3 linked regions of the Lonchura striata genome follow. The protein of the gene in region 3 interacts with the protein of the main gene of each other region in a pairwise test. Links are inferred from orthologs where the notes say so. Each region holds a gene or a part of one and is shown on either strand. Other genes may lie near its edges. The genes, in order: AKAP19, AKAP10 and PRKAR1A.

Region 1 (3,746 bases), on a different chromosome or scaffold from region 3:
AAGATGAAGTGCCAGAAAGGCATGGTTGCCTTGCATTAACACAGTGGTATTACTACAAAAGTGATTTTTAAACTATATCCTATTTTTAAATAAGAATTTTGTAACTAAATTATAAATATCTTTGTATAGGCTTATGGCTACTGTGCTCTTTATTATTCTAGCCTGGTTTCTAATGCAAGTTTCTACTTTTATCTTCAGCTTTTAAACGAATGCAGCTCCCACTGAGCAACTTGGTGCCGTGGGGCAGACATTCCACAAGCTGCAAGCACAGCTGGTGCCTGACTGGATCACTGCATCCCAAAAGATAATAGTCTGGTCCTGGAGCACTGCTGATCTCCTGTGCCACCAACCCAACAACAAACCTTGTCCTGAGCAGCAGCACCTCAGTGTGATGTGGCAGGGACAGGGAGCTCAGGAGAGGGAGATACATGTGATGAGAATCTTGAGCCCATATTTATTTCTGGGTGCCAACATGGATTTAATACTTTATTAGCTGTGGAGTTTGCAAGACAGCTGATTATGCTGGGCTGAGGCAAAGCAGTCAGTGTTTTTAAATGCAGAGAATCCATTTGAATTACTACAGCCAGGCACAGGCTAGGTAGTTGATGAAATATTTAGCTTGTAAAGCATTTCAGTGTGCAATGCTGGGGCCAGACATGGGTGCTGTGATATTCAAAATCACAATACCCAAATCTGAGGTGCCCCCGCCCCCAACACGGAGGCCTCAGAGGTGCAGCAGTTGTCCAGGGAGTGGGGCTATGTGGCCTCAATGTCCCTGACTGTGCCAGGGTGCAGGAACTCCTGCTGGGCATGGACTGGTTTGGGAGGGCACAGGCATCAAAACCTTTCCTGCAACTCAACTTGCCAGATAATGCTCTCTTGCACCCTTCTCCAGATTTTAGTGGCTGAAAGCACTTTCCTGTAGGGGTAAGGAAGATACTCTCTCCTCCAGAAGAAATTGTTTTAAAGTAAGTTTAAGTTTTTGTTGTCATAGACTTGGTATTTATTTTATTAGCAATTTTTATTAGTTTGCTAATTGGAGTTTGCTAGTTCTTCCTGTAATATAGCCCAAACCCTCTACATTCTTGGCATGCCCTGCTCTGTGTGCACATGTTCACTCCAGAGTGATGTGGATGCAGCATCAATACACCTGCAACAGGGAAACTGGTGCAAACTGAACCACAGAAGTCAGGGAATGGTATTAGCATTGGAGCTACTGGAATGGTACCCAGACTGGATGGTTCAGCTGTGCTAAGCTACTTCTTTTGGGTTACAATTTGTCACTTAACAACCTCTGCACCAGATGGCAAAGTTTTAATGAGTTTGTCCAAGGGTAACAGAATAAATAAATTCTTTCCAACAGAAAGCAGAGAAAATACAATCCTTTTTCCATAATAGTGCTTAAGTTCATTTGAGAATCCACTGACAACCCACTGATGTGGCATTCAAAAAAGGGCTACAAAACTCCATGAATTTATCCAAATCCAACCACAAGCCCTAGTCAGAGGTCAGTGGCTGAAACACTTGCTCTGTTTCTCAAATAGTTTTTTAGTGATACAAACAGACACTGGAATTAGGAAGGGCTTCACTGAGGCACATATTTCTAATTCAGGTGAAGAGTTAAAGGGAAGCCATGACAAGCACTCTGCCCCAGGAGCTCCTCCCAGCATGCCCACAGCCACATGGTGACTTTACCAAATCTATGTATAACTGTATGGGTTGGAAAACATGGAAAATATTGCACAGTCTGGGAAGAATCAATATAAAGTCTAAAGAACTATAAAGCCCTGAAAATTTTTGTTATTGACCAAAACCTCCTAATAATCCAAAAGCCTTGAAGTTGTACCTGATATGCTGTGAATACCTTCTAGTAAGTACTTTGGTAGAGTTTCAAAATCAAACCCATGATGCAAAGAAGGTCACTTCAACACAGCTTTATAGACTAAGGAACCACTGTCTCAATAAAGGTTCTATTTTCAAAAACTTTGTGCATGGGAAAGGTGTTCTTTTCTCAGCTATGGATTTTTCTTTCTTTTACCTGATCCTTCTTTCATTATACACCACCCTCATCTGCTCTTGCTATTCTAATGCACAACTGAGATTTACCAAAGCCTTTTCTCAGAGCTTTTATTCTTTTAATATATTTCCTTGATGGTTGCAACTAGGTTGATTAAAATTAAGGACAAATATGATTGCAGGATTCCCAAGCACATGCCACGGAAGCTCCTCAGCGCTGCCCTAGTTTTCAACTCTGTTACTACCAAAAGTACATGAGAGTGGGGATTGCACGGCTGCTCCAAACCTTAGGGCACAACATTGATTTCTAGATCATGATTATTTTTGGAATATCCCATCCTCCTGCTCTCAGGAAAAGGTTTGATAGCTTTTACACTGAAGTTAGAATACAGTAGAATATAGATGCAAAGCCTAATTCCACTTTCTTGTACGAAGAGATCCTGAATATTTAAAATAAGTTTAACATGTTGTACTAGTTTTACTTCTTCTGGAGTTAGCTGGATATGCATATACTGCTGTAACGCAAAGGAAAACACAGAATCAGTGTGTGCACTGAACTCTGTACCCATTAAAGAATCCCCAGCACTTTGTGATTATCACAGTGAGACATTTGGGGAAGGACTTGGTGGGTTTTTTGTTGTTGTTGTTGTTGTTTTTTTAACGATAAAATACCTAATTTAGCAGCAGAATTTGAAGAACATGCTCAGTCATATACTTACACTTCAGTGTGTCCTGCAGGACTTCATTTTATAGGGGCTGAGTTGCACTTCACCCAGTCAGCAACACCTGTGCAAAGATATTTAGAACTGCTTAAGTCACCATATTTGCAAAATTTTCCGGGAAAAAACCCCAACATTATCTACTCAGAATTTGTCTAGATGCTTAAAAATGTGCTAATAAGATAATTATGACAAAGTTACACTATAAAGGCACTCTGCTCAAAAAAAAATGAGATGGAATATGTGGGTATATTTTTCTCCCATAGAAAAACCTATACTTAGCATCAAAGTAAAAACGAAGAAACCAGAATCACAGAATGATTTAGACTGGGAAACTTTTGAGATAATCAAGAAGGGGGGTAAAATAAATTACAAATTTCTACACAGCACAAATGTTTATCCAACTGAATGTAATAGTTGTTAGATGCTTTTGTTTCAATTTGTGTAATTAATACGGAAGTTATTAGAAAATTTTTAATGGAAATCTATTTGGGCAATTTTAGAAATCTTTAAAATGAAATTTTTGCTCTTGGGGCTTTCCAGGTTTTGTGTCCTGGAATGGACAGTGGCGCTGACTCCCTGGGCCTCTCCAAAAGGAGTGAGGTCAGTGTCTCTGAGTAACCACAGAGCAAAAACACCCAAGGAATTGAGAGGCAAACAAGAAATTGAGTATTAATTTTGACTGAGGTGACAGTTTTCGAGAAGAGGGGAATTTCTTCCAGCAGGGGGAGATTGCAGTGAGCCCGACTGGGGCTGCTCTGCCAGAGGAGTGCAGCCTGCTCCCCTGTCCACACTGGCTGATCTCGAGGCCATAGCAAGAACTAGAGTTGTTTTCCCTAAAAAACCTTTCTGCATGATGGCTCCTGCTGTGGTGCCCACAGCAGCCACGTGTTAAATCACCACAGCAGCACCAGGGCTGGAAAATATAAATAGATATAATAAATACCAAGTCTAATTCACTTTTTTTTTTTAAATAAGGCAGTATAGCAGCTTCAGAAATATTCCTAATTT
Region 2 (3,746 bases), on a different chromosome or scaffold from region 3:
GAATGTGATCTACCAGGGAGGCTGCTCCAGGCAAGGATTATTACTACAAATAGGTCATTCCTGAACACCCACTGAGGAGCCCTTCCTCAGTGCACAGCCCAGCACAATCCCACATTTACATCACAAAACACATCCAAAACACCACCCCAAGCGAAGCCTTCCTATCCCCACCTAAGGATGTTAAATATTTTACAGGAGAGCTCCGGTTACATAACTGCCCTGGCCCGGTGGCTGCAGCGCTGCCTGCCAGCCTCCCCGGCGAGCACAAACGCTGCAGGGCTGCAAATCTGCAACTCGGGGTCGAAAATTGCAGCTGCCAGGGAGCTCACTGTGTGACAGAGGGGTTGAAGTGTGCATTACAAGAGGAGGATTCCCTCCACGCTGACCTGCAGCCTGATGCAGCACGAGGGAAACCAGCCTTTACATAACTGGAGAGAAACCAGAGGGAAGCAAGCAACCTCTATGAACTCTCATCCTTCCCAAATCACTCCAGTATTTCATCAAACCGGTTCCTAGCTATCAGCAGCAAGTCCTGGGTTTCACACAACAGCCCTCCATAAGCCTATTTTCAGTTTAAATACCTCTGTTCCTTCTTTCCTCCCTAAATACCTACTTACTACTGGAAATACAAACTCCAGGGTCGTGTCCCAACCCTTTCCACACAGGCTGCTCCTGTCCCCAGCAGCTCTGAGCACGACCAGGTGCCATCAGTAACAGGAGGGGACAAAATCAGCTCTGATCCAGGACAAGCCCGAATTTCAGAGAGTGAAGTTGCACCACATGAACTCACTTTCACTTCCCCCAAAAAGCGGATGCTGTGCGGTGCCTGTGTGAAACCAGAAGGAACCACAGAATGGGGACTGAGGGAGAGATTTCCAGTGGCCAATCCCCTTCCAAAGGGTGCCAAAGCAGCACATGACATTCCAGAGTTGCAATTCACATCCTGAAATGCTCTCAACAAACTCAAAAAGTGTTCACAGTGTGTCAACAGCACACAGAAAACAACGAGATCCTGCTGAGGTCAGCCAGGCTGTGGGACTGCACGTTATTCCCAAGATATCCCAGGGATGAGCTGGTCCACTGGCAGCAGTTTCATAACTGCCCTCAAGCGCCCAGCTCACCTGTTATATTTTGATTTCTCAACCCATTATCCACCCTCAGTCTGCCAGACCTTTATTTTGAGGCCCAAGCTATAAAAACACTTCACCCTGATATTTGATTTTTCTACAAGCTTTATGATTCTTGCTATGGTTTAATTTAAAATTAGTCTTAATTTCTACCCACTGCAATATCCTCTTAAACAACCACAGCTCACCCCAGGAACATTGGTGTTTGTAGGATTTTGGCCTGCACGTGGCCAGAGTTTTATCCTAAGCCTAAATGTGCTGCTTCCCTCACAGCTTCAGTTCAAATCTTGTCTAAAAGCCACACCTAAAAACGGAATCACACCAAGCAGTGTTTTATGCACAGCCCAGATGAAAGGTTGCTTTTCTCCTCTCCTTCACAGCGTCTCTGCATTTAGTGCTGATTTGCCTTTCTGACCAAAGATCCTTTAATCAAAGGAATACAGATCCTCAATTACACTTCTCAGATAATCAGAGCTTTCATGGCTTTCTCCCTGAGAAGGTTTCCACACAAGCTGACCTTGTCCCTGTGATCCCGCGTCAGGAGGGAACCTCAGCTCCACAATTCTCAATGAAGCAGCAGGAGCTCTTTTTGAAGAGTTTATAACCACTATCAAAGTTTTATTCTGCAGCCCAGTATTTGTATATAAACACCCCAAAAAGGATTGCAAAGCCCTCAATGGCTTCTACTCTTCAGATCTGCTACGTTTAGACTCATTTCTCGCACAACTGCTGCACTAACCTCCCCAGAGTGACATTTTCAGTGCTGCTGCTTTGGCTGAGTGAGATCCAGAGGATGTGAGAGCCAAGAGCATCACCATCACCCCAGGTACCACGTCCTTGCCTCCCAGCATGTGCATTTTGGGTTCAGAAACACAGAAAGACTTTAGGACAGCGCTGCATCAGAAGATCAGTGCTCGAGCTACAGCACCACGAGGAAACAGAACTGTCCCAAGGGGCCCTTCCTAAAAGGTGCCACTTGCAACAAAAACCACCCAAACCACAGCTGGGCGGCTTGAGAGCTCTGGCCCTGCCTGCAGCACGGGCACAAAGCGCCTTCAAAACGCAGAGAACACTTAAACTGCTCCCATTCGTGCTGCTGGGGCGTTACAAATATTTCAGCAGCCCTGAATTTCCCAGCTCCTACTGCAGAACGAACTGCCGAGCACTCCTTGGGCTCAGCGCGACGAGGTCCCTTTTCCACCGACACCTTCAGCTCCTGCTGTACATTCTCAGCCCATTCTCACTGTCACAAAGCCGGCCGTGCCAGCCCTGTGCAAAACGCATCTGCAAAGGGCTCCGAGCGCGGGAGGTGCCACAGCCGCTGGCGGAGCCGCGGGCAGCCGGGGCCGCGGCCGCTCACCGGAGAGCCCCGAGCCCCCCGAGGACGCAGGCACTGACCGTCATCGGCGGGGAGGCCGCTCCTCAGGGCCCGCGCGTCCTCGCGGGGCCCGGTGGCGATGCCCGGCGGGGCAGGGCCGGGGCCCGGCGGCCGCGCAGGGGACGAGCCCGGCGGCCGCCCGCCCGCCGCCGCTGCCCTACCTTTCCGCCTGAAGAAGGACATAGCGCCGGGGAGGGGGGCGAGGCGGCGGCGGGGCGGGGGGAGGCGGGAGGGGGGGAAGGCAGCGCGCCGGGCCCTATGAATGAGGCAGCCGCGCCCGCCCGCCGCCGCCGCTCCCTCCGCCTCTTCCTCCCGCGGCGGCGCCCGCGGCCGCCATGTTGTCAACACCGGCCCCGCGCCCGCTTCCGGCAGCGCCGCCCGCGCGGCACGGCGGGATGCGGCCGCACTCAACATGGCGGCCCCGGCTTCACACCCACCGCACAACGGGGGCCGGGCGGGGCCGCCATGTTGGGTGAGGGCAAGAAGCCCGCTGGGGTCCAGGGCGGCGGGGCGGCCATCTTTGATCGGGGCGGGGGGCGCCGGGCGGCGTGAGGCGCCAGCCGCCATCTTGGCTGAGGGCACGGGTGACCCGGGGACGCTGCGGCAGCTCGGGCGCGGCCCGCGGGCAGGGACAGAGAGCCCGAGGACAAGGGACACAGAGCCCGAGGACAGGGACAGAGATCCCGAGGGCAGGGACAGAGCCCGAGGGCAAGGACAGAGAGCCCGAGGGCAAGGGACAGAGAGCCCGAGGGTAGAGGGACAGAGCCCGAGGGCAAGGACAGAGAGCCCGAGGGCAGGGACAGAGAGCCCGAGGGCAAGGGACAGAGCCCGAGGGCAAGGGACAGAGAGCCCGAGGGCAGGGACAGAGAGCCCGAGGGCAGGGACAGAGAGCCCGAGGGTAGAGGGACAGAGAGCCCGAGGGCAAGGACAGAGAGCCCGAGGGCAAGGGACAGAGAGCCCGAGGGCAAGGGACAGAGAGCCCGAGGGCAAGGGACAGAGAGCCCGAGGGCAGGGACAGAGCCCGAGGGCAAGGACAGAGAGTCCGAGGGCAGGGACAGAGAGTCTGAGGGCAGGGACAGAGAGCCCGAGGGCAAGGACAGAGAGCCCGAGGGCAGGGACAGAGAGCCCGAGGGCAAGGGATAGAGAGCCCGAGGGTAGAGGGACAGAGAGCCCGAGGGCAAGGGACAGAGAGCCCGAGGGTAGAGGGACAGAGAGCCCGAGGGCAAGGACAGAGAGCCCGA
Region 3 (3,746 bases):
TAAGCAGATTTTTCTCCCCTTTCAAGTTTGTACTGGGTTTCTACTTCCAGATTTTGGTAGCACGGGGTACAGGGGGGGGTCTGTGAGAAGCTGCTGGCTGCTTCCTCCATGTCCAACAGAGCCAATGCCAGACAGCTCCAACATGAAACTGCCACTGGTCGAGGCTGGGCCCATCAGTGACAGTGGCAGAGCCTCTGGGACAAGGTACTTAAGGAGGGAGGAGAAATGGCTACTTCAGCCAGACAGGTGAGTGGCAATAAATGGGAAAAACAGCCCTGCAGTCCCCAGGGTCAGTGCAGGAGGTGCTGCAGGCCCTGGAGCATGGATTCCCTGGCAGCCCGTGATACAGACCATGGTGAGGCAGCTGTGCCCTGGAGATCCACAGGGGAGCAGATTCACCCACAGCCCCTGGAGATCCACGGGGGAGCAGAGACCCACCCACAGCCCCTGGAGATCCATGGGGGAGCAGAGATCCACTGACAGCCCCTGGAGATCCATGGGGGAGCAGAGACCCACCCACAGCTCCTGGAGATCCATGGGGGAGCAGAGATCCACTGACAGCCCCTGGAGACCCAAAGAGGGAGCAGAGATCCATCTGCAGCCCCTGGAGGACCCCACACTGGAGCAGGGGAATGCAGAGTGTGATCCCACAGGAATCCTATCCTGGGATGGTTTTCTGGCAGGAGTTGTGACCATGGAAGGGAAACCAGGCTGGAGAGTAGCCTGCAGGAAGGACTCACACTGGAGAAGTCCATGGAGGACTGTCTCCCAGGGGGAAGGTGTGCAGGATGGAGCAGCAGAGACAACATGTAAGGAACTGACTGCAATTCTCATCCTCTGAGGTGAGGCAAGGCAGAGAACATCAGGAGTAAAGTTAAAGCTGGAGAGAAGGGAGAGGGCCAGGAAGATGTTTGTACGATTTAGCTTTATTTCTCATTATCCTACTACAATTTAGTTAGTTTAATTTATTATCAATTTCCCTGAGTAGAGTCTGTTTTGCCCACAATGGCAAGTGGTAAGTGATCTCTCCCTTATCTCAGTCCAGGAGCCTGTCCTTATATTTTCCTTCTGTTGTTGAGTTGAAGAGGGTAGTGATGGAGCAGTTTTGGTGGGTGCTTAGCATCTAGCCTGGCTTGGCCCACCACAGGGTTATAAAACCATTTTAAGATATATTTTTTTACGTGTACATGTATATAGACACACATTTCACATCATTTTTTTCATAAGAAAATTGACACTGGGAGAGTTAAAGAAACAGGAAAGAATTTCTCAGGGCATTTTTGGATGAAATATAAAGAAAGTTACCTGCTACAGGGAGTGTGGCAACAGCTTATTTATATGCAGTAAGATATGTTGATCCCGGGATCAGCTTTTGAAAGGGAAAAAATGAATTCAGTCAAAAGAATTTTGAGAAATGACAAGTCACTGAAGTCACATCATGGGTTTTATCCTGCGGAGGAAGCAGCAGGAAAACCCAGGGCACAGAGACAACAAAACAACGTGCCCCTCTGAATTCTGCTGCTGGAGATTACAGAAGGCTTGGATTTAATATGGAATTACCAACACTTCACGCAGGTGTCGTGATTGTCACGCTTAATCCCTGCTCAAGGACACACACACACACACGTGTACTGTGCGTTGCATAAACACAAAGCGTGGCCTTCCCACGGGCTGAGAAAGCCACGAGAAGTTCTCCAGCGACTCCTTTTGTTTGGCCAGCCCGCCCGGTGAAGGTCAGCGCTAATGAACCGAGCCCGGTGGCTCCGTGAGCGGCCACGGCCACGCCAGGAGGGCAGGAGCGGTGCAGGAAATGCAGCATCACGGACAAAATGAAAACTCCGGGATTTATTCCTACAAGCCGTTCTTTCTGCACGTCCCCAAAGCTTCCCCGAGCTCCCCAAGGCGTGGCTGCCCCTCCCAGCCCAGCCCAGCCCGTCCCTCACGCGGCGCGGGGCTGCGGCCGCTCCAGACCCGGCAGGCACCGACCCGGTACCCCCGGGGCGGGGACGGGGCCGCGGGGCACAGCCGGCACAAAGGCCCGGGAGCGCCGCGGGGCCCGGCCCCACAGCCCGCGGGGGCCCCTCGGACACTGGCCCGAGAAGGCGCCGCTGCCCCCACGGCACCCGCAGAGCCGCGGCCCCGGCTCCGCTCCCTCCGCCGCGCCGGGCCGGCCCCGCCCCAAGGCCGCAGCCTCCCGCTCCGCGCCCGTCCCGCCCGGCTCTCGTAGCGCCCCGGCCCCGCCGCCGCCCCGGGGCCGCCCGGCCGCTGCCCCCGCCCCGCTCACCTGCGGCGGCTCCGCCGGGACCCCCCGCCCGTCCCGGCCCGGCCGCGGCCTCGCTGCAGCGGCGGCACCGGAAACCGACCGGCCGGACGGGCCCCGCCCGCCCTGACGTCAATGCGCCTCGCTCTCGCCCGGGCCCGTCGCCGCGGTAACCTTAAAGGGGCAACGGCGGGCGCGGCGCGGGCACAGGCCGGGGAGCGGCGCGGGAGGAGCTTTGCAGCTTTAAGGGCGCGGGGCTGGCGGGAACGGGGTGGGGTGTGGGGTCCGCTGAGGGGCGCGGGATACCCTGAGGGGAGCGGGAATGGCTGAGGGGGGAGGGATACCCTGAGGGGAGAGGGAATGGCTGAGGGGAGAGGGATACCCTGAGGGGAGCGGGAATGGCTGAGGGGAGAGGGAATGGCTGAGGGGAGCGGGAATGGCTGAGGGGAGAGGGAATGGCTGAGGGGAGAGGGATACCCTGAGGAGAGAGGGAATGGCTGAGGGGAGCGGGAATGGCTGAGGGGAGCGGGAATGGCTGAGGGGAGAGGGATACCCTGAGGGGAGAGGGAATGGCTGAGGGGAGAGGGAATGGCTGAGGGGAGAGGGATACCCTGAGGGGAGCGGGAATGGTTGAGGGGAGAGGGATACCCTGAGGGGAGCGGGAATGGCTGAGAGGAGAGGGATATCCTGAGGGAAACGGGAATGGCTGAGGAGAGGGAATGGCTGAGGGGAGAGGGATACCCTGAGGTGAAAAGGAATGGCAGAGAGGAGTGGGAAACCCTGAGAGGGATCCTCTGAGGGGAGCAGGAATGGTCGGGAGGAGAGGGATCCCCTGAGGGCAGTGGGATCCGCCAGGGCATCAACTCCACACCGACTCTCCTGGAAAGGACCCGCTTCAAAGATCAGAGATTGTTATAGGTTGAGGGAAATAAACGATACTCAAGTTTGGCAAAGATTTCACTATAATCAATGTAAATCCGTGTACAAATTATTCCATGTGTCTTTATAGCTGAGATGAGCCCTTTGACTCCATTCACTTTGTCTCTTCCAAGCTGTAAGAAATCATTTAAATGATTTTTATATCTGGACTGTGCTGGCACAGGCATAGCCCATCTCTGGGTTTAGGAAGGAGAAATAATCCCTAAAAATGAGCCCTGAACTGTGCATTTGCTGGTCTTGCAACGCAGAACATAACTTTTTACTCTAATGTTACATCATTTCAGCCAGCAATCACGTAAAGTACAGTGAAAATTACTCTCAACAGCAACAGTTTAATGTATATTATGGTATAAGAAGTTTGTGCTGTTTGTGCAGTGACACACAAGCCATCAGGAACTACCTGCTGAGGGGTTTCTTGTTTATTAGCTCTTATATTAAAGAAATAAAGGATAATAACTTGGGTGTAGATCTTGGACCTGCAATTCTGACAGACCCAGTCCAGCCCCTGAGCTCACATTCCCCAAATCTTTGATAACTTCTGTCTGAT

What was found.
Region 1: the proteins of PRKAR1A (region 3) and AKAP19 interact in binary tests that used the Homo sapiens proteins (3 or more experiments, as listed by UniProt). The two-hybrid records come from large-scale screens. The link is inferred for Lonchura striata from reciprocal best matches to the Homo sapiens genes PRKAR1A and AKAP19.
Region 2: the proteins of PRKAR1A (region 3) and AKAP10 interact in a two-hybrid assay, tested with the Homo sapiens proteins (3 studies listed by BioGRID and IntAct). The link is inferred for Lonchura striata from reciprocal best matches to the Homo sapiens genes PRKAR1A and AKAP10.

What each region holds. Positions count from the first base shown.
Region 1 is NC_134610.1:30,738,206-30,741,951, forward strand, and holds the start of AKAP19 (small membrane A-kinase anchor protein), read right to left. Parts: upstream 2,803-3,746; 5' UTR 2,736-2,802; intron 1-2,735.
Region 2 is NC_134622.1:8,540,633-8,544,378, reverse strand, and holds the start of AKAP10 (A-kinase anchor protein 10, mitochondrial), read right to left. Parts: upstream 2,689-3,746; coding exon 2,526-2,688; intron 2,494-2,525; exon of another isoform or gene 1-2,493. UniProt on the Homo sapiens protein: Differentially targeted protein that binds to type I and II regulatory subunits of protein kinase A and anchors them to the mitochondria or the plasma membrane.
Region 3 is NC_134621.1:9,548,842-9,552,587, reverse strand, and holds the start of PRKAR1A (cAMP-dependent protein kinase type I-alpha regulatory subunit), read right to left. Parts: upstream 2,385-3,746; 5' UTR 2,285-2,384; intron 1,370-2,284; 5' UTR 1,306-1,369; intron 1-1,305. UniProt on the Homo sapiens protein: Regulatory subunit of the cAMP-dependent protein kinases involved in cAMP signaling in cells.